Macaca fascicularis: one gene and its partners. The protein of the gene in region 1 binds, or shares a complex with, the protein of each later gene. Links are inferred from orthologs where the notes say so. Each region holds a gene or a part of one and is shown in the gene's direction. Other genes may lie near its edges.

Region 1 (7,309 bases):
GGAAGAGGAAGGGGAAGGGGAAGGGGAAGAGGAAGGGGAAGGGGAAGGGGAAGGGGAAGGGGAAGGGGAAATGCAAATTCTGCCAGGCACGGTGGCTCAAGCCTGTAATTCCAGCACTTTGGGAGGCCAAGGCAGGCGGATCACTTGAGGTCAGGAATTCGAGACCAGCCTGGCCAACATGGGGAAACTGTATCCCTACAAAAATACAAAAATTAGTCAGTCATGGTGGCATGCACCTGTAATCCCAGCTGCTTGGGAGGCTGAGGCAGGAGAATCTCTTGAACCTGGGAAGCAGAGGTGGCAGTGAGCGGAAGTTGGGCCACTGCACTCCAGCCTGGGTGACAGAGTGAGACTCAGTATCCAAAAAAAAAAAAAAAAAGCAAATTCTCAGGCCCCACCCAGACCTACTGAATCAGAAACTCTGGGAGTGGCCTCAGCAATCTATGATTTAACTAACCTTGCAGGCAATTCTAATAAGTACTGAGGTTTGAAAATCACTGCACTAGAGAATCTGAATGAGGATAGGGGCGCAGGAATCGGTATTTTAGCAATCTTTCCTAAGACATGTTGCAGGAAACATGAAGTGGTTTTGAAAGTACTTTGCTTGAGGCTTGAAGGCTTGAACCTAGGAGTTTGGTTTTTGTGTTTTTTTAGATGGGGTTTCACTCTGTCACTCAGGCTGGAGTACAGTGGTACGATCTTGGCTCACCGCAGTCTCGTCTCCTGAGTTCAAGCAATTCTCCCACCTCAGCCTCCTGAGTAGCTGAGATTACAGGGGTGTGCCACCATGCCCAACTAATTTTTGATTTTTTTTTTTTTTGAGACAGAATCTCGCTCTGTGGCCCAGGATGGAGTTCAGTGGCGTGATCGTGGCTCACTGCAACCTCTGCCTCCTGGGTCCAAGCAATTCTCTGCCTCGGCCTCCCGAGTAGCTGGGATTACAGGCACCCACCACCACGCCCGGCTAATTTTTGTATTTTTAGTAGAGATGGGTTTTCACCATGTTAGCCAGGCTGGTATTGAACTCTTGACCTCAAGTGATTCGCCTGCCTTGGCCTCCCGAACTGCTGGGATTACAGGTGTAAGCCACCGAGCCTGGCCAAGCCTAGAAGTTTGAGAACAGCCTGGGCAACACAGGGAGTCCACGTCTCTACAAAAATTTAAAAAATTAGCCTGGTGTAGTGGCTTGAGCCTGGAGTCCCAGCTACTCAGGAAGCTGAGGTGGGAGGATCACTTGAGCCCAGGACGTCAGCTGCAGTGAGCTATGATTGCACCACTGCACTCCAGGTTGGGTGACAGAGCAGGACGCTGTCTCAAAAAAAAAAAAAAAAAAAAAGATACTTTGAAAAATGTAAGTGACTTTCCAGATGGCAAAATACTATTTTCATTAGGCGGAAACAGTAATAGCAAAGGTCACTAAGAAATGAGTACTTAGTCATACCTCTGAGTCTCTGCTTGCATAGCCTATTATTTCTCAAGCAATCCATGAAGAAGGTTAAGAGAATGGACTTTCACACCAGACTGCCTGGGTTCTTATCAAGCATGTGACTTAGTTTGTACATTTGTAAAATGGGGATAATAACGGTATTTCTGGAATAGGTTTCTCGTGAGAATAAAGAGAGCTTGGTATCAGCTCTTAGAATACCGGCCATGTTGGCTCCACTAAGCTGTTATCACCATTCCTAAGCACACCCAGTTAAAAGGTAGAAAAGGGAGAATTTGAACCCAGTCAGTGTAACTCTCAAGTGTACATTTTTTTCTTTTATTTTCTTTTTAACCACAGCCTTTAATGTACATTGTTAAAGGCTAAACCAGGCCAGGTGCAGTGGCTCACATCTATAATCTCAGCGATTAGGGGGCCTGAGGAGGCAGTATCTCTTGAGCCCAGGAGTTTGAGACCAGCCTGGGCAACATGGCGAGACTGTGGCCCTGTCCCTGCCCCATCCCATCCGGACCCCACCCCATCCCCATCTCTACAAAGAATAGACAAAAATTACTCTGGTGTGGTGGTGCTCACCTGTTGTCCTAGCTACTCAGGAGGCTGAGGTAGGAGACTTGCTTGAGCCCAGGAGTGTGAGGCTCTAGTGAGCTATGACTGCACCACTGCACTCCAGCGTGGTTGACAGAGTGAGACCTTATCTCAAAAAGAAGAAAAAAAAAAAAAAGAAAAGGAAAAGAAAAAGAAAAAAGAACAACTAAGTTATAAACTAAGCTGTGTAGCACAGTGGTTCTCAAATTATTATTTCACTCACTAGTAGTATCACTAGAGAGCTTGTTAGACATGCAGATTATCAGACCCTATCCTCCTATGCCAGATCTTCTGATCAGAAACTCTGGGGGTGGGGGTCAGCACTGTAAGTTTTAATAAGCTCTCTAGGTGATTCTGATGCACACCATAGTTTGAGAATCACAGTCCTTATAGGCTCCGGTGGGCGGGGTGTTAAAAAAAAAAAAAAAAAGAAAGAAAAAAGAATGAGCCGCTCGCTCCCGTCTCACCCGGAGGTGAGGAAAACTGGGATTTAACTGGATTTACCACCGCAGCCGGCTCTTCAAGCCAGGGGCGGGCCGAACGGCTGGCGGGCAAGGCCTGCTGGGGCTTGTAGTCCAGACCACTCCCGCGCTCAGGCGCCTGCGCTTTGGCTGCTAACTCGCTCTGGTAGCTGTGGTCGGGGCTCGGGACCGGCTGCCATCTTAGTCTAGGGACTGAGGAGTCGCCGCCGCCCGGAGTCCCGGTAAACACCCGTGGGCGAGCTCGGGGCAGTTCTCGGGAGAGGGAGGGAGTCCGGATGAGAATGTTGGGGGAGAACTAGGGTAGAGGAGTGGGACGCGCGGGTCGGGACCCCAGAGCCGCGGCTGCTCTGTCTCCCAGAGCCGGTGTCTGTGGGGGGCGCGGGGAGCTCGGGCTACTGGCCCGGGCCGGGCGGTGGGGGTGGGTTATCTGGACGTTCGGAGGGATCAATGCCTGGCACAGGCTCCCGAGGCCTTCGCCTCGCGGGCTCCAAGTTGTGAAAGGGCTGGGCCACGACGGGCGTGGGTACGGTCCGGCCCCTCGCCCCTCATCCCCGCCTGGGGCCACTCTCCAGCGGTTCGGCCTACGCGCGGGGCCCGGCGGCCCGGGCCGGCGCGGGCTACGTGGCCCTGTGAGGGGCGTCGGCCGGGTCCCCCGTTACCCAGCTGTCCTTCCCGAGACTTCCGAGCCCCCAGTCGCTAGAAGGGCCCAGCCCAGCGGCTACCTCCACTTCTCTCTCCCACTCCCCTCCTCCTTCCATTGTCCCCCGGCATGGTGGTCCCGGCCCCGGCACCCTCCCCGACGCCCGCCACCGTCGTGGCGGCGCCGACTTTTGCAGACGTGGAGCTGTCACTGCCCTTCCTCCGGAGAGTGCCCTTTTCCTTAGCAGAGAAAAGTAAAAAGAGCCGTTGAACGTATTCTAAGGGTCGAAACGTGATGACATGACTTTTAAGTGGATAACTCAAGTTTTCCAAGACAGTTCCGGGCCGCGACTTAAAAGAGAGAATCGCAGGATTTGTGCGCCCAAGTAGACGCTGGGCCTAAAGTTAGTTGGACATGTAACCAGGTGAACTTGTAAAGGGCCAGGAATTCATTATCCCCAATAACAACGCAACCTTGTTTTCTTGGTTGTATTCGTATCCTAATCTTACTACATTTTCTGCCGTTCTTCCACATCTGCGATATACTTGGTTTGGAGTGGGGGATGGGGAAGTGTGAGATTTTTGCCTTGAAAATTAGTAAGACCCTGGAGCCAGCCACCTATCATTGCACTTAGTTGGGTTCTCCTGCATCTTTTCCTAATATAATTCGATCTTCAGGAAGTATGTAAAGGCAGTGTATTTCCATTCTCAAAATCGGCTAAGGAGTTATTTATCAGTTCAGGTGAAGTTCTCATGGCAGATATGGTGAGAGCTTGCTGTGTGTATTTTACAGGTTTTTTTTTTTTTTTTTTTTTTTGAGGCGGAGTCTCGCTCTGTCGCCCAGGCTGGAGTGCAGTGGCCGGATCTCAGCTCACTGCAAGCCCCGCCTCCCGGGTTCACGCCATTCTCCTGCCTCAGCCTCCCAAGTAGCTGGGAGTACAGGCGCCCGCCACCTCGCCCGGCTAATTTTTTTTTTTTTGTATTTTAGTAGAGACGGGGTTTCACCGTGTTAGCCAGGATGGTCTCGATCTCCTGACCTTGTGATACACCCGTCTCGGCCTCCCAAAGTGCTGGGATTACAAGCTTGAGCCACCGCGCCCGGCCTTTACAGGTTTATTTAAGCTATAATTTATTTTTAAAATTAAGAAATGGGCCGGGTGCTGTGGCTGACGCCTGTAATCCCAGCACTTTGGGAGGCCGAGGCGGGCAGATCACGAGGTCAGAAGTTCGAGACCATCCTGGTCAACATGGTGAAACCCTGTCTCTACTAAAAACACACACACACAAATTAGCTGGGCGTGGTGGCAGGTACCTGTAGTCCTAGCTACTAGGGAGGCTGAGGCAAGAGAATGGCTTCAGCCCAGGAGGTGGAGGCTGCAGTGAGCCCAAATCTGGTTGCTGCGCTCCAGCCTGGGTGTCAGTGGTGTCGGAGTGAGACTCCGAAAAAAAAAAAAAAAAAAAAAAACAATGGGATGGGCGTGGTGGCTCACGCCTGTAATCCCAGCACTTTTGGGAGGCCCAGGCCGGCAGATCTCTTGAGCCCAGGAATTGGAGATCAGCCTGGGCAACATAGTGAAACCCCGTCTCTACAAAAAATACAAAGATTAGCTGGGTGTGGTGGTGGGTGCCTGTGGTCCCAGATACTCAGGAGGCTGAGGTGGGGGAATCACCTGAGTCCTGGGGGTGGAGGCAATGGTGAGCTGTTACTGTGCCACTGCACTCCAGCCTTGGGTGACAGATTGAGATCCTGTCTCAAGAAAGAAAAAAAAAAATGGAAATGAAGGTGGAAATTCTACTGCTTCTTTGAACCGTGAATGTGTTTAAGTTTTGTGAGTCCAAAAGGAATTCCCTTATATTCAGCATACAAGTCAAGTCACCAAGGATATGATATGAAATTACAAAAATGAGTACAGACTACTTCAGTGTATTCTAGAATCAAACATTTCTACATTCTTTTTTAAAAAATACGTCTTTTTTTTTTTTTTTTTTGAGACGGAGTCTCGCTGTGTCTCCCAGGCTGGAGTGCAGTGGCGTGATCTCGGCTCACTGCAAGCTCCGCCTCCCGGGTTCACGCCATTCTCCCGCCTCAGCCTCCCAAGTAGCTGAGACTACAGGCACCTGCCACCACGCCCGGCTAGTTTTTTGTATTTTTAGTAGAGACGGGGTTTCACCATGTTAGCCAGGATAGTCTCGATCTCCTGACCTCGTGATCCATCCGCCTCGGCCTCCCAAAGTGCTGGGATTACAGGCTTGAGCCACCGCGCCCGGCCTTTTTTTTTTTTTTTTTTTTTAATTTGAGATGGAGTCTAGCTTTGTCACCCAGGCTGGAGTACAGTGGTGTGATCTCGGTTCACTGCAACCTCCGCCTCCTGGGTTCCAGCAATTCTTTTGCCTCAGCCTCCCTAGTAGCTGGGACTGCAGGCACGTGCTACCCCCCCCCCCGGCTAATTTTTTTTTTGTTTTTTAGTAGAGATGGACTTTCACCATATTGGTTAGGCTGGTCTCTAACTCCTGACCTCGTGATCTACCTGCCTCGGCCTCCCAAAGTGCTGGGATTACAGGCATGAGCCGCCTTGCCTGGCCCTAAAAAATACGTCTTTTCACCTATTAGGAGAGACAGACAAACCAGTAGTCCCCAAATTTGACCATTAGAATAATTAGAAGAGCGTAGAAATTCCACGGTCTCACCTTCTGAGATGGATTTAGTAGGTCTGGGTTGGCTCCAACCAATTTATTTTTAACACATGCCTTAGGTAATTCTGATGGTCTTGGGAACCACTGAGGGCAGATGGTACTCTAGACTTATCAAGGAAAGGTCAAAAAACTTTGAGACGGAAGAGGAAGTGGCCAATTCTGTGTGTGTGGCTGGGTGGAGGATTGGTTAGAAGAGGCAGGATTTGCCCCTGAACCCTCATTGGGTCTTAGATGAAGAGTAGGAATGTGAAAAGCAGTGGGGGGCGGTGGGGGTGTGGGGGCGGTGGGGGTGGAGGGAAGAGAGAAGGACAGGGTAGGCTGAGTGAAGGCCTTAATGCTGTGTGTAAATTCAGAGGATTGTGGAACAAAAATGATTCAGGGAGTAGGGAGTGGAATGGGGAAGGAGAGCATTTTGAAACACAAGGTCAGAAAGGTTAAAGGAAGCAAGTATATGAAAAGTTATTTTTTGTTGTTGTTGAGACTGGGTCTCACCCAGTCACCCAGGATGGAGTACAGTGGCAGTAGTACCTCCAGAGCTCAAGTGATCTTCCCACCCCAGCCTCCCTGAGTAGCCGGGACAACAGGCATGCATCAGCACGCCTGGCTAATTAAAGATTTTTTTTTTATAGAGACAGGTTCTCTTTACGTTGCCCAGGCTGGTCTTGAACTCCTGTGTTCAAGTGGTCCTCCCACCTTGGCCTCCTAAAGTGTTGAGATTACAGGTGTAAGCTACTGTGCTTTGTCTAAAAATTTTAAGTATAATGCTAAAAATTTGGAATTTTATTTTGGTAGAAATAGATACAGGGCTGGGCTCAGTGCCTCACGCCTGTAATCCCAGCAGTTTGGGAGGCTGAAGCGGGTGAATTGCTTGAGCTCAGGAGTTCGAGACCAGCCTGGTCAACATGGTGAAATCCCGTCTTTACAAAAAGGAAGAAAAAAAAAAAGAAATAGATAAACAGATTTTTAGACAGGGAAATGATGTGAGTACATATGTGTTTTAGGAAGATTGCTGTGTACTGCCGGACAAAGATAGGCATCAAAAAACAAAAAAAGAAAGATTGCTCTGGTGATGAATGAAAGGATGAAAGAGTAGCTATTGCAGAAGTCTAGTTGAGAAGTAACAAAGCCTGACCTTGGAGAGAGGTTGTGGGGGTGATCAAAGGATTGGATTTAGCTTTTTACTAGTGCAGTATTGTTGCCATATTTTTAGATGAGGATTTTTTTTAGAGCTAGTCTGGGTAAAGGGCTCCTTTTCTGTCAGAAGAACCCATTAGCAAGTCTAAATTATATTGCCAGGTTATATATGTTATATATAGTATGAGAGTGAATTGTTCTTTAGCATCTTTGAGAAATTAGAAAGAACTATGTCAGGTGTAATTTGGAAGAGAACTTGGAGTTTGTTATTATTTTTGAGATGGAGTTTTGCTCTACCATGCAGGCTGGAGTGCAGTGACGTGATCTTGGC
Region 2 (7,389 bases), on another chromosome or scaffold:
GAGTCGAGACCATCCTGGCTAACACGGTGAAACCCCGTCTCTACTAAAAATGCAAAAAATTAGCCGGGCATGGTGGCAGGTGCCTGTAGTCCCAGCTACTTGGGAGGCTGAGGCAGGAGAATGGCATGAACCCGGGAGGCGGAGCTTGCAGTGAGCTGAAATCGCACCAGTGCACTCCAGCCTGGGAGACAGCGGGACTCTAAAAAAAAGAAAAATTACTTCAGTCAGGCCGGGCACGGTGGCTCACGCCTGTAATCCCAGCACTTTGGGAGGCCACGGTGGGTAGGATCACTTGAGATCAGGAGTTCAAGACCATCTTGGGCAACATGGTGAAACCCCGTCTCTACTAAAAATACAAAAATTAGCTGGGTGTGGTGGCACATGCCTGTAATCCCAAGTACTTGGGAGGCTGAGGAGGAAAGTCGCTCAAACCCAGGAGGCGGAGGTTGCAGTGAGCCAAGATGGGGCTACTGCACTGCAGCCTAGGCAACAGAGTGAGATTCTATCTTTAAAAAAATTACTTCAGAGTCCCACCTCCTCTGCTCCCAGTAACTCAATCAATATTGTTAACCAACTGAAAACACCTCAAGCCTAGTTTCTTAAGCTTCTAGAACAGGGTGCTGCCTCAAACACGCCCTAAGGATAAACAAGTTCCTGGGGTTTAATGCGTGTGTGTGTGTGTGTGTGTGTGTGTGTGTGTTTTCCAAGAGACTCATGATGCCTATTCTTGAGCTTGTTTAATATTGGGGTTGAGTTGTAACTTGTTAGCCTTGGGGTGTCAATCCAGCTAGGGTGTCTGAGGAAGGAAGAAGTCTCCTTAACAGCAATGAATAGGTTTCTTTTTTGCTGACTGGGTAGGGTTTCAATATACTTGAATGCTTCTTAGTTACTTCCCCATCTCAATCTTGGGACATTATCTTCCTTTCCAGCCCAAGGAATGAGATGATAATCTTCTGATACCCCAGCACAGATATGGGAAGGGTCTATGAATCAAAGAAAAGGGGGAAGAATCCCTGCACTTCTGCATACAGGTTTTTCTTATTACATTTAAGAGTAAGTTCTCAGTACTCAGCTCCTAAAGCATCTCACAGCCAGCAGGGGAAAATCCATCTGACAGCTGGCCAAACGAAACCAGCAAAGAATGAAACCAACAAAGGGAGGGTAGGGTCTCTTCTGGCTTGAATTTATAGTGCTCTAGTGACCGATCTTTCTTCTCTTTTCCTTCTTACTGTTTTCTAAACCGTTTAGGGAAAAACCTTTGAAAATATTTTTTAAAATTGTTCCTTCAAACAGGTGTATGGCCATCTCTCCACTGGAAATTTGGATATAAACAAGAGGACTTTCTTGCTTTTAACCAGATTTATGGATGTATATTTGATTTAGTGAGTTGGGAGAGGGGAGGGAGACAAGAAAGAGTGAACATAACTCTGGAAGAAAGTGAAAAAAGTGAAGCATCCTTGTTCCCCCCCCCCTTCCTTTTCCTCCAGAAGCAGGTAGGGAGTGCGAGATTATCAGCGCCTGGACACACCTCACTAAAGAGGTAATGAGGTAAATGGGAAACACAGACAAAGTGTTCCCCAACTTTGCAGGCAGAAATTGAAGAGATAACAGGATAAGCAACAGGATGTAAACACGCCTGTCCTATTTCCGTGCCAGAGAACAGAGAGAACAGAAGAGAGGGTACAAGGGGCGGGGGGTGACGAACAGCACACGCACGCAGCCCCCAGCCCTAGCCCCAAGGGATTGGAACGGGAAGTAGAAGACATCAGTCCTACAGCCGCAATGAGGCCTGAAAGTTCTCCTTTCCCTCAGAGATGGTGGTGTTTTTTTACATTTAATAGGGATGCGGGGCAAGAGAAGGACAAAGGGGCTGTTCCTTAACAGTAACACCAAGCATTCTGCGCTCCACGGCCCCAAACCTAAAAGTATTCTTGGAGCTATGGGATTTTCACACACTTGCTATTTACGAGCCACGAATAAACGACAGACTATAAAGTAATTGCACTGGCTAAGACTAGGCACGAAATTCCCTCATAAGCACATTTTCTTTTTACCTCAAACCACCGCTCTCAGACCAGAAACGTCCACACCCGCCCTCCGATGGCCTGTCGCCCTGGCTAGGTTTTAGGGTCAGTGGTATCCTCCTTCCACTAGGCCCGGGTAAAGACTCAAAAGCCCCCTCCTTCCCCTCATTCCTCTCCTTCCCCCCTCCCTGCGCCGCTCCCGAGCACAACAACCATTTTCCCCGCCAGGAGCACACCGTGTCCACGCGCCTCAGCGATCTCACTGATTGGTCGGGCTCCTGGTAAACAAGGACCGGGCAGCCAATGGGAGGGATGTGCACGAGGGCAGCACGAGCCTCCGACCCAGCGCTCGCGTGGCTCTTCTGGCCGGGGCTTCTATATAGAGCCGTTTCCGCCTGCTGCTTGAAACTAACCTCTCTTTCTCTGTCAAGAAGTGCTTGCGGAGATCGGATCTCTTCTCCAGCAATCGGGGAAAAGAAGACTTTTTCTCTGAAATCGCTTAGTGTAACCAGCGGCGTAAATTTTTTGGACGCCTTTTCGAAAACCTAGTTAAAATTCATTTGTTTAAATCTCATTTTTAAGCTCAAACTGCTTAAGAATATCTTCATTCCTTAGGAAGAGTGAAATAATTTACTGCAAAGGAATTTCCTCGATTTGGTGCATTTTTTTTTTTATTCTTCCACGGTCTTTTCTAACTCTCAAACCAACTCCGTCCCATCATGGTGATGTTCAAGAAGATCAAGTCTTTTGAGGTGGTCTTTAACGACCCTGAAAAGGTGTACGGCAGTGGTGAGAAGGTGGCTGGCCGGGTGATAGTGGAGGTGTGTGAAGTTACTCGTGTCAAAGCCGTTAGGATCCTTGCTTGCGGAGTGGCTAAAGTGCTCTGGATGCAGGGATCCCAGCAGTGCAAACAGACTTCGGAGTACCTGCGCTATGAAGACACGCTTCTTCCGGAAGACCAGCCAACAGGTAAGCGGCCCAATTCATTGTTGGAGGGTGAAAGCTGATTAGAGAAGAGAATTGAAAGGAATACACAAAACTATACGAAATGTTTTAAGTTGCTCAGTTTGAGTGGTGTGAATTGCACGTTGTTACTTCCTTTTTTCTAATTTGCAGACATTCTCCCCCCCACACCCCCCAAAAAAAAGGGTGGTTTGTACAATTTTTTATGGTGCTGTGTCCTAAAGGTGGTTCTGAGGGGCATTGCCTCGGATAGTTAAAAATCTTATGTGTGCATTAGTTGCTTATTCTTTGCCTACTTCCTGTTTGAGATGTTAGTGAAGAACTGTCCTGGGTGAATCTTTAAAAGCATTGCAGGGCAACTTGGGAACTTGCTGCCCAACAAAATACATCAGAATTTCTCTTTAAGAACAACATGGGATGATTAAAATACCTCTCTGTGGGACGAAATTAGGGGTACTTCAATACCTTGCATGCCACCCAAACATTCCTTATCACACAGATGCGTTTTAAGTGTAACAGGAAGCCTAATGGCTACTCGATTATCTTTCCCTTCAGGTGAGAATGAGATGGTGATCATGAGACCTGGAAACAAATATGAGTACAAGTTCGGCTTTGAGCTTCCCCAGGGGTAAATATCAGCTAAATGCATCTTTGAACTTTTCTGTCTAAAATATCTTGCCCTCCTTTGATCACTTACTGTTCCTTGGAGAGCATTTAAAAATTTTCATTTTCTTGACACAGGCCTCTGGGAACATCCTTCAAAGGAAAATATGGGTGTGTAGACTACTGGGTGAAGGCTTTTCTTGACCGCCCCAGCCAGCCAACTCAGGAGACAAAGAAAAACTTTGAAGTAGTGGATCTGGTGGATGTCAATACCCCTGATTTAATGGTGAGATTCATTTTAAAGATTATATTCTCCTGGGTCACAGGGATGATAAATCAGATGTCTTGGGCATTAGATTGAAGCATCTCAAAACACCTTTTTGTCCCCTTCTACATAGGCACCTGTGTCTGCTAAAAAGGAAAAGAAAGTTTCCTGCATGTTCATTCCTGATGGGCGGGTGTCTGTCTCTGCTCGAATTGACAGAAAAGGATTCTGTGAAGGTAAAATCCTAGTGCTTATGGCAGACAGATATAACAGGAACTAGGTTTAGGGGCAAGGGCATGGGACTGGGGTAGAGGAAATGTCATTAACTATACTGAGTATCAGTAAGTTTTCATTTTTCTCTTTGCTAGGTGACGAGATTTCCATCCATGCTGACTTTGAGAATACGTGTTCCCGAATTGTGGTCCCCAAAGCTGCCATTGTGGCCCGCCACACTTATCTTGCCAATGGCCAGACCAAGGTGCTGACTCAGAAGTTGTCATCAGTCAGAGGCAATCATATTATCTCAGGGACATGTGCATCATGGCGTGGAAAGAGCCTTCGGGTTCAGAAGATCAGGCCTTCTATCCTGGGCTGCAACATTCTTCGAGTTGAATATTCTTTACTGGTGAGTAGATGCAGGGTGGGTTCAGCAGAGAAATTGTTCATCTGTTACCATAACTGTCTTGTTTCACCAGAGCGCTCTGGTCTAACAAACTACCATCTTCCTTTTCTAGATCTATGTTAGCGTTCCTGGGTCCAAGAAGGTCATCCTTGACCTGCCCCTGGTAATTGGCAGCAGATCAGGTCTAAGCAGCAGAACATCCAGCATGGCCAGCCGAACCAGCTCTGAGATGAGTTGGGTAGATCTGAATATCCCTGATACCCCAGAAGGTGAGCCAGACCTAATGTCTTTTCTTCATTTCTGGTCTACCTGGGTTTGTAAAATTGTGATGGTCCAGCATTTCTTGGGCAGGCTTCTTATGTGGCCATATTTTCTTTTCTAGCTCCTCCCTGCTATATGGATATCATTCCCGAAGATCACCGATTGGAGAGCCCCACCACTCCTCTGCTAGATGACATGGATGGCGCTCAAGACAGCCCTATCTTTATGTATGCCCCTGAGTTCAAGTTCATGCCACCACCTACTTATACTGAGGTGAGAATTGTCATATTTACTGTTAAAATTTGTCCTAAGCTTTCTATAAGAAGTTGACTTAGGGGGATTGCTAAACTGGTTTGTTCTTTTAGTTCTTATCTGAACTGAAATAGTCTGTTTCTTCCTTTAGGTGGATCCGTGCATCCTCAACAACAACGTGCAGTGAACATGTGGAAGAAAAGAAGCAGCTTTACCTACTTCTTTCTTTTTGTCTCTCTTCCTGGACTCTCACTTTTTCAGAGACTCAGTAGTCTCTGCAATGGAGTGTGGATCCACCTTAGCCTCTGACTTCCCAATGCAGGAGGTGGTCAGCAGGCAATCTCCTGGGCCTTAAAGGATGCGGACTCATCCTCAGCCAGCGCCGATGTTGTGATACAGGGGTGTTTGTTGGATGGGTTTAAAAACAGCTAGAAAAACTCAGGCCCATCCATTTTCTCAGATCTCCTTGAAAATTGAGGCCTTTTCGGTAGTTTCGGGTCAGGTAAAAATGGCCTCCTGGCATGAGCTTTTCAAGGTTTCTTGGAGGCTTTGTGCAAATTGTGATAACCACTTTGGACCTTCAACTTATGTATCTATCATGTGGAAAAGAGCCAATTTAGCAAACTAGGAACATGAAAAGGGAAATTATGGCCAAAACTTTGGGAAAAGGAGGTTCTTAAAATCAGTATTCCCCTTTGTGCACTTGCAGAAAAAAAAGAAAAACCTTCTAGGGCTGATTTGATGGACATTTGGAGAGAGCTTTCTCTGTGATTATAAAAAAAGAAGCTAGCTGCTCTATGGTCGTCTTTGCTTAGAGTGTACTTTAACCTGGCTTTTAAAGCGGTAGTAACTGTGTCCCACCAAAGGTCTTAAAAGCCATTTTTGGAGCATATTGCACTGTGTTCTCCTATTGCAAATATTTTCATATGGGAGGATATTTTTCTCTTCATGCAAGTCCTTGGAATTGATTCTAAGGTGATGTTCTTAGCACTTTAGTTCCTGTCAAATTTTTTGTCCTCCCCCCTCCACCATCTTAAATGTAAGCTGAAACTCGTCTACTATGTCTCTAGGGGTAAGCCCAAAGACAAAAAGAAAAAAAAACTGTTAACTACTTTTGAGATTGCCCCAATGTACAGAATTACATAATTCTAAGACTCAAATCATGTGAAAGGGTTGCTGCTGTCAGCCTTGCCCACTGTGACTTCTCCAAACCCAAGGAGGAACTCTTGATCAAAATACCCAACACTGATCAGAACCTCCAAATACTGCCATGAGAAACTAGAGGGCAGGTCTTCACAAAAGCCCTTCGAACCCCCTTCCTGCCCTGTGTTAGGAGATAGGGATATTGGCCCCTCTCTCACTGCAGCTGCCAGCACTTGGTCAGTCACTCTCAGCCATAGCACTTTGTTCACTGTCCTGTGTCAGAGCACTGAGCTCCACCCTTTTCTGAGCGTTGCTGCAGCCAGAAAGTGTGGACTGAAGGTGGTTTCATGTTTTTGTATTATGTATCTTTTTGTATGGTAAAGACTATATTTTGTACTTCACCAGATATATTTTTACCCCAGATGGGGATATTCTTGTAAAAAATAAAAATAAAGTTTTTTTAACGGGAAAAAAAAATGTTGTCTGTGAGATGGCTTTGGAGAAGGTTTTGGAAAGAAGGTGTGCCTAAAGGAGTCTTCCTCTACTTAACAATCCACACCAGTGAAAACCTTGTGGAGAAAACACTCCCTATGGACCCTAAGGAATGGCGGCAGAGTGGGGGCTGGAGGTGAAGAGGGAAACAGTTTTGAGGCATGTTTCATTCAGATTCACTGAAGAACTATATTGGGATTTTCTGGTTGTCTAGTTTTCCAAATCCATAACTAATTATTACTAAATTCCTTCAGTTTTGGAGTTCATGAGTTCTTGAAATACAGGGAAATGATGTTTATGAGGGAATTTGAAAGAAAAGAGTAGAGGTTCCTTTTTTTTTTTTTTTTTTTTTTTTTAAGACAGTCTCACCTACGCTGAAGTGTGGTAGCATGATCTTAGCTCACTCAGCCTTGACCTGGGCTCAAGTGAACCTCCCATCTCAGACTCCCACATAGCTAGGCTACAGGCACACACCACTACACTCAGCTAATTTTTATATTTTTTGTAGAACTGGGGTTTTGCCATTCTGTCCAGGGTGGCCTCAACCTTCTGGGCTCAAGTGATCTGCTGGCCCTGGCCTCCCAAAGTGTTGGGAATACAGGCATGAGACACCATACCTGGCTGAAGATCCCTTTTTCATAATTTGGTTTTATCATATAAAGTTTCTTCCCATGTAAACTTGATTTATATACTAACAAGGATAACTATTCAGGACTTAAGAGGTTATAGAGCTAGGAGTATTCTTTGGAGGCAGCTAACTATTT
Region 3 (6,625 bases), on another chromosome or scaffold:
TTGTACCCCGTTTCTGGTATCTTTTCCATTGACATTTCCTGTTGCAGTTACTGATTTCTTCCATTTTCAGGGAGCATTGGTTTGCCAACCATTTTCTGCATTGTGTGCAGCATTTAGCACAACTACTTATTTTCTGTTTGGTGGATTATAAAGTAGAATGTTAGGCAATTCTTGTTCTTGCCTCAATTTCCCACCCTTATTTTGACTTTAAACTTGGAGCTTCCTCTGTATTTCTTTATGAGGCAAATACATGCTGCTTTTCTGCAAAAACATCGTTTAAAACAACTGTTACACGTGGTAGTTTTTAAAAAATCATAATGTGAGATTTTTTGTCCTGGTGTCTGTTTAGTAGCAGCTCATCAGATGCAGTGTGTGTTTGGGCTTGTCAGTCTGTCCCTTGTCGCCAGTTGAGTTTCTTGCTTACAGTATAGTATTAATATGATTTATTATTTGAGATAAAGATTTTTGTATTATACATGCATCTGCTACAAACGAACTCTTTTTGGTTCACAAACACAGTTCCTCCACCAATTCTAAAATCATTTAATATTACTTTAATAATGGTACCTTTTTCTAGAAAAGCACTAATTGTTTTTTTTTTGTGGGGGGGTCTTTTTTAGGGAAAGCTTCCAACGACAGGAATGACAATCACAAAGCTTGAGGACAGTGAAAACCATAGAAATGCATTTGAAATATCAGGTGATAGGCACAAGCTGTGTGAGTGCCGTGTCTCGGGGAGGAGAGGCAGCTTGTCCCCGCGTGCAGATTCTTGCTTGCATATTTCAGAAGGTGGTGTTTAAGCGTTGAGTGGAATTCTGGGGGCTGTGTGTGCATGCACGCGCTTTTTACCTGTGTTTCCACTCGGCCTATTTTTTCCTTCTCTCCTCTAGGGAGCATGATCGAGCGGATATTAGTGTCATGCAACAACCAGCAGGATCTGCAGGAATGGGTGGACCACCTACAGAAGCAAACGAAGGTCACATCTGTGGGAAACCCCACCATAAAGCCTCATTCGGTGCCGTCTCATACCGTAAGGACCTGGCGCTTCTTCTCCTTCCAGACTCCAGGCGTGGCATCCCGTGGCTGAGCTGTCAGCAAGTGATCACGTGCTTTAAAACCTGATCAATATTGGGATAAAAATGCAAACGCTTGCTTGATATTTCTCTGAAAATATTTGGCCCTCTTTGTGCAGTAGTGAATTGTTTTCCAATGAGTGTTCTCGAGAAACAACCCTGAATTGTGCCTCCTCACGCACAATTCAGAGGTGCTTGGGTGGGAAGCTGCTTTTGCTCAGCGTGGCCTTAGAAGACTAATTTAGGGGAGTTTTACACTAAACTATAGATGATTTTTCTGAGAATTTTAACTGTTTATTATGCTTCATTTAAGAAAACGAAAATAAATGATTATGATGATGAAAAGGGCCAGATTCATGTTGAAGGCATTAAAATAGAGTTTATGACACACTGTTGATTTTAAGAAATTGAGGTGTCTTTTACTTAGAAAAGCTCAGCAACTCTTTGAATTTTTAGAGAATTACAACTTTTCAAAATAGATGAACACTGAATTCGGTTGCAGTGTTTAAACCTCTCCTGGTGTTTTTTGCTCAAGAAGTTGGTATCGGGTTGTTTTAACAGTCGTCATCTTTATCAAGTAATACCGAAAAACTGGGCAGAGCTTTTAAAGAATGAGTGGCGATGACACGGCATTTTCAGCTTGCAGATTCCCTCACATCCTTACTAGGTTATTAGGATCAGTTCTGTCGTGTGCTCAGTTTTCATGTTTTCTTCTTCATGGGAAGGTTGTAGATCAAGAAGGATTGCTGTATTCTGATATTCTCATCAGTTTCAGAGTCCATCTGATTTCTCTCAGCAGTGTGCAGATAACTACTCATTGGCTTTTAGCTAGCATTTCATCTTTAATGGCTCTGCCGTTTTAAAATTCTCCATTCTTTCGTGGAGATCAGTTTATCCCAGCGACATGTGTACACGTGTGTTTATAAAGAACAGTGGATGAGCTGCTTCACTCAGATTTTCAACAGCAGCCTGAAACTCTACTTCATACAATTTTACATCAAGTCAGCTTTTCTCTGCGGCCAGACCCTCCGTCTTAGTGTTTCTTTCACTGGTGGCGGGGAAGGCACTGTGCCTCATGTTTAAAATGTTCTGCGTTCTCCTACAGAGTTTCTTTTGTGGGATGATGTATTCTCCTGTGATCTAACTCTGTCCAACTGAAGTCATATTCTAATTTTAGCATAAAGCATACTTCCTTTGACTTTCTCAAGAAAGGAGAAACAAAACCAGACACTACTTAACTCTGACGTTGTTGCTAGGAGGGATGTCTTACATAATTTTCTCCATCTATACATTATTTCCTATGAAAAGATGACGTTACGGTGGCTTCATAGCATGACCTGTATCTCACACGATTCCCTCCCCCATGCAGGGACTAGAATGTGATCATTGCAGAAAGTTGATGGCGTCTGTTCTTGAAATTGTGGCATTAGCTGCTGTGGGGCCTTCCCTCTCAGCCTGTTTTGAAGGTCGTGTACTTCAGAATGCCGACCCCACTCAGGTTTCCAGTTCACAGCGCCACACAGCTTGTTCTCCCATTAAACGCGCCTTACTATTGTTGGCTAATTTGAAGTCATTGTTGGCTGATTTTGAGACTTACTTAACTTTTCTCATTTAACTGTCATTGTGATGGGATATTTCGGGTTTCCCAGGAATATAAAATTCATTAATGACATACCTCCTCTAAGAAGTTAATTTTCAATTAACTTTGTTTTGATTAAAGTTGAGTTTTCTAAGAAAATAACTGATTTTATACCAGGGTTTGGCAGTGTTCTAGAAAGAGCCAGATGGTAAACATTCTCTGCTTTACAGGCTCAGGCCTCTTGCAGCTGTACTCTGCCCTTGTAACACAGCAGCAGCTTTAGACAGGCACGGGCCTGCTTGTGTGCCAGGAAAACTTTTTTAAAAAACAAAACTAGGCGATTGGGCCTTAGTTTCACCCAGTACTTCATCACCAGGTGAAGAATAATACGTGACCGGGGGGAATCACCTTCCTTCTTACAGCCACATGCCCTGTGTGCTTTTGTGAAATTCTCATCTTTTTACTAGATAAAGTACCTTTTTTTCTGTTAATGTTACTCCGTAGCTAATAAATGTGGCTAGTGGATGTCCGAGTGCTGGGGCGCCAGCTAGAGCTGCCCCTCCCGTCTGGGGCAGACACCGTGGGGGGGTCCCATGCTCAGCCCAGGTGGCGCGAGCTGGTGCTTGGCCCCAAAAACTACTGAGAGCCAGAGATTCGAACGAAATGATAAATGATAAATCCTGGGGTTTATTTCACATGGAGTGTTTAAAGAGCGGAAGGAAGTGCGTGATAGTGCCCTTTCACGGTGAGCATGCAAGTCTCACGTTCTCTGCCCTTCCCGCTCTGTGCCCTCGGCAGCTGCCCTCCCACCCGGTCACTCCGTCCAGCAAGCACGCAGACAGCAAGCCCGCGCCGCTGACGCCCGCCTACCACACGCTCCCCCACCCCTCCCACCACGGCACCCCGCACACCACCATCAACTGGGGACCCCTGGAGCCTCCGAAAACACCCAAGCCCTGGAGCCTGAGCTGCCTGCGGCCCGCGCCTCCCCTCCGGCCCTCCGCTGCCCTCTGCTACAAGGAGGTGAGGTCCCTTGACCACTCAAACAGCCAGACGCCGGTGAGCATGCCTTGGGCCCCGAGTGTGCCGGGCTGGTCCCTCTGTACGCAGCAAAATGCACCCTAACTGCTAGAGAACTGAGAAGGGGTCTGCCTTGGTTCTTCGGTTATCTCCGCTGCTGCTGAGAGGCCTGTGGTAACCCTGTGTGGGAAGGGGATGTGCAGATGTGCAGGGCCCCTCCTGTCTGTGCCATGCAGAGGGGGCCTTTACTGTGCTTGCCGGAGGAATGTGCCGCCGGGGGCCAGGAGCTGGAAAGGCGCCGAGCCCAGGTGACTTTCCCTCCCCGTGTGTGAGGCCGTCGCTCGGCGTCTGCATGCTGTCTGCTGCGTCTAACAACCCCTCCTCTAGGTCGGGGATCCTATCCAGGAGCCCTGCGTTTTGTCATCCAGAAGCCATTTGAAAGGAAGAGAACGTTTACCAATACAAATGAAAAAACACTTAGGCAGTTTCCCCCTTTGATGCATAAGAAATCATGATACAGTCTTTGCTTGTCTGTGTTTTGATCCAGCATTTTTGTATTTGCTAGGTGCAAATAAAGTACGATTCTAATGAATAAATATAAGTATTAACACTTTCTTATACTTTCCCCTAAGCCAGCTTGGATGAGGAAAGGAAGCGTCTTGAGAAATGTGTTCTGAGAAATATTTTCACCTGAGGAAGCCGATAATTGAGATGAGCGTTGTTTTCATAAGCAGTTGAGCGTGCATGGTGGTGAGGTACGAGGAGTGGCGGTGCGAGTATGGGTGGCTGCGTGCAGATACGAGGAGCGGTGCCCGCTGGTGGGGTGTGAGTGGGCGTGAGGACGGTGATGCGCTCTTGCCTGGCGTCGCGCCTCTGTGTCTGGTCAAGGCCACATTTGCCAAGGGAACTGGAGCAGACTTTTTCTACGCTCTTGCCAGCAGCCCTGAGGGTTTTAAGGCCCATAGGAAAGTACTGTGTAAGAAATTAGGATCTATGCTTTTCATTTTTTGGTCTTACTGAGTCTTTGTTTTTATGATATCTTTCAGGTAATCATGTGTGCAAGTCAGAATTCTCATTTTCTGTCATGGGAAGTTACTTGAAGAATGTTGGTGTTCCTTATTGTATACTTTAGTGTGCACAGTCTAAAGAAAAAGTGAGCTACTGCAAGAACTGGTGGAGACTGAATTACTAGGGAAGAAAACGGGGATAAAACTGTTGGGAAAAGAAGTAGAAAGGGCAAGGGAAGAGGCATTGAAATGAAGATAAACAATTTGATTTTGATAATCTGGCTGCAGTTGCTTTGCCCACTCCACACTGGGAGAGAAGGGCTCACGCCGAGCAGCTGCTGTCCAGTGTTGCTGAGTGCCACACAGCATTAGCGTGGAGAGTGGTCCTGCAGAGTACGAGAAGAGGGCGTGGCGGCTCGTGGAGGCCGCTCTGCAGCCTGCTCTGCCTGGCTCTGGTCGTCGGGTGTGCTGTGTGCCTCATGACCCTCTGTGCCCGCAGGTGCACTCGGAGCACATGGTGGGTGGGCATTGGCTCTTCAAGGCTCTCCATCTCAATTTGCTTTGAATTAGGGAAGCCAGGGAGCACATGTGTATAAATGTGTCTTCTGGAACAGATTGCTACTGCATTTCTAAGAGCTTTACAATTTTTATAGAAAGATTTTTATTTAACTTTTTAAATGTTACTTTAGATTGAAAGTTTGTTACATGGCTGTATTGGGTGATGCTGGGGTTTGGGCTTCTAGGGTACCTATTACCCAAATAGGAAACACTGTACCCAATGGGTAGTTTTTCAAAACTTGCGCCCATCACCCTCCCCCTTTTGGAGTCCCCAGGGTCTGCCATTTCCATGGTCATGTCCATGTGTACCCATGGTTTAGCTCCCAAGAAAAGACTTTTAAAGATAACTTTAAAAACCAGGCTTCGTTTCCTCTGTTTCCAGCCCGGTTCATTCCGTAGCGCATCTCATCTTCTGAGTCTTGGCTTCGCCTGTTAACGTTCGCGATGGTTTATGTCACTGGCGTGGTGCAGAAACCAGCCTTTTTTTTGATATCGGTATTTAACACGTGCTTGATAGTTGACACCTTACCTGCTCTGTTGGACTTGCTTTGCTCACTTTGTATTTTGCTGTCGTCTTCTGTGCTTGTTTGAGAAGCTGTTTGAAGAGGTAAGGGGTGGGCAGTTCCGTTGTGAACTCGCCTCTGAGCTAGTGTGCGTGTGGCCCCTGCAGAACAGCCCCGGCTGAGCTTGGCTGTGCTCCTGGCACTCAGAGTCGGGTAGCTGAGCACTCGCTCCCTTTTCTTCTCCCTGAGACTTTAAATAGTTTCTTAAAGCGATTATTTTTTACTTATCTGTCATTTAATGATGACCTTAGTTTCCTCTCGTCTTTCCAGTTAGCTGTACCGGGGGGTGGGTCTGCCCCCGGGAGCCACTGCTGCCTCCTCCCCTCCTCCCTCAGGAGTGTGCAGGATGTCTGTGCACACCAGCGCCAGCCTGCCTCCTGGGGACACCTCTCATCACCGAACTAACAGGACCCAAATGGCATGAGGGGTTTTATCAGAGTGAAGAAAAAATATTAGCCAATGACTAATACTGAGAATGCCCTATTGATTTTAAAATTAACGTTCAGAAGCTGGTAAAGAAAAATCAAAATAGGAAAAAGCGAGCAGCTCTTATCAGTGGCTATAATAATTTGGGGTTTTATACCTTTACAGCAGCCTTTCTGATACGCCAGTGAAAATGATTGGCTTTAGAGTATGTTAACATTTTCTTTTCTCTTTCCCTAGGATCTTAGTAAGAGTCCCAAGACCATGAAAAAGCTGCTGCCCAAGCGCAAACCTGAACGGAAGCCTTCCGATGAGGAGTTCGCGTCCCGGAAAAGTGAGTAGCTGCGGTCCATGTGGAGGAGGATGTGGCCTCCTGGTCACGCAGGCCATGGCATTCATGGG

Evidence for each region.
Region 2: the proteins of ITCH (region 1) and TXNIP are in contact, whole or in part, in a crystal structure (PDB 5CQ2), measured with the Homo sapiens proteins. The link is inferred for Macaca fascicularis from reciprocal best matches to the Homo sapiens genes ITCH and TXNIP. Residues at the interface, in NP_001244066.1 of Homo sapiens: Glu485, Arg487, Thr489, Tyr495, Val497, Asp498, His499, Arg502, Thr503, Thr504, Thr505, Tyr506, Leu516; in NP_006463.3 of Homo sapiens: Pro328, Glu329, Ala330, Pro331, Pro332, Cys333, Tyr334, Val337, Ile338.
Region 3: the proteins of ITCH (region 1) and ARHGEF7 are in contact, whole or in part, in a crystal structure (PDB 5SXP), measured with the Homo sapiens proteins. The link is inferred for Macaca fascicularis from reciprocal best matches to the Homo sapiens genes ITCH and ARHGEF7. Residues at the interface, in NP_001244066.1 of Homo sapiens: Arg252, Pro253, Pro254, Arg255, Pro256, Arg258, Pro259, Pro260, Pro261, Pro262, Thr263, Pro264, Arg266; in NP_001106983.1 of Homo sapiens: Phe193, Phe195, Thr198, Asp201, Glu202, Arg215, Glu217, Glu218, Gly219, Gly220, Trp221, Glu223, Thr230, Trp232, Pro234, Asn236, Tyr237.

Annotation. Positions count from the first base shown.
Region 1 is NC_088384.1:90,409,228-90,416,536, forward strand, and holds the start of ITCH (E3 ubiquitin-protein ligase Itchy homolog), read left to right. Parts: upstream 1-2,655; 5' UTR 2,656-2,732; intron 2,733-7,309. UniProt on the Homo sapiens protein: Acts as an Acts as an E3 ubiquitin-protein ligase which accepts ubiquitin from an E2 ubiquitin-conjugating enzyme in the form of a thioester and then directly transfers the ubiquitin to targeted substrates.
Region 2 is NC_088375.1:113,421,097-113,428,485, forward strand, and holds TXNIP (thioredoxin-interacting protein), read left to right. Parts: upstream 1-2,428; 5' UTR 2,429-2,743; coding exon 2,744-2,993; intron 2,994-3,542; coding exon 3,543-3,615; intron 3,616-3,728; coding exon 3,729-3,876; intron 3,877-3,988; coding exon 3,989-4,091; intron 4,092-4,223; coding exon 4,224-4,480; intron 4,481-4,589; coding exon 4,590-4,746; intron 4,747-4,859; coding exon 4,860-5,011; intron 5,012-5,141; coding exon 5,142-5,177; 3' UTR 5,178-6,610; downstream 6,611-7,389. UniProt on the Homo sapiens protein: May act as an oxidative stress mediator by inhibiting thioredoxin activity or by limiting its bioavailability.
Region 3 is NC_088391.1:101,802,556-101,809,180, forward strand, and holds part of ARHGEF7 (rho guanine nucleotide exchange factor 7), read left to right. Parts: intron 1-620; coding exon 621-789; intron 790-890; coding exon 891-1,030; intron 1,031-3,450; coding exon 3,451-3,675; intron 3,676-4,304; exon of another isoform or gene 4,305-4,427; intron 4,428-4,718; exon of another isoform or gene 4,719-5,196; intron 5,197-5,619; exon of another isoform or gene 5,620-5,733; intron 5,734-6,463; coding exon 6,464-6,557; intron 6,558-6,625. UniProt on the Homo sapiens protein: Acts as a RAC1 guanine nucleotide exchange factor (GEF) and can induce membrane ruffling. Functions in cell migration, attachment and cell spreading. Promotes targeting of RAC1 to focal adhesions. May function as a positive regulator of apoptosis.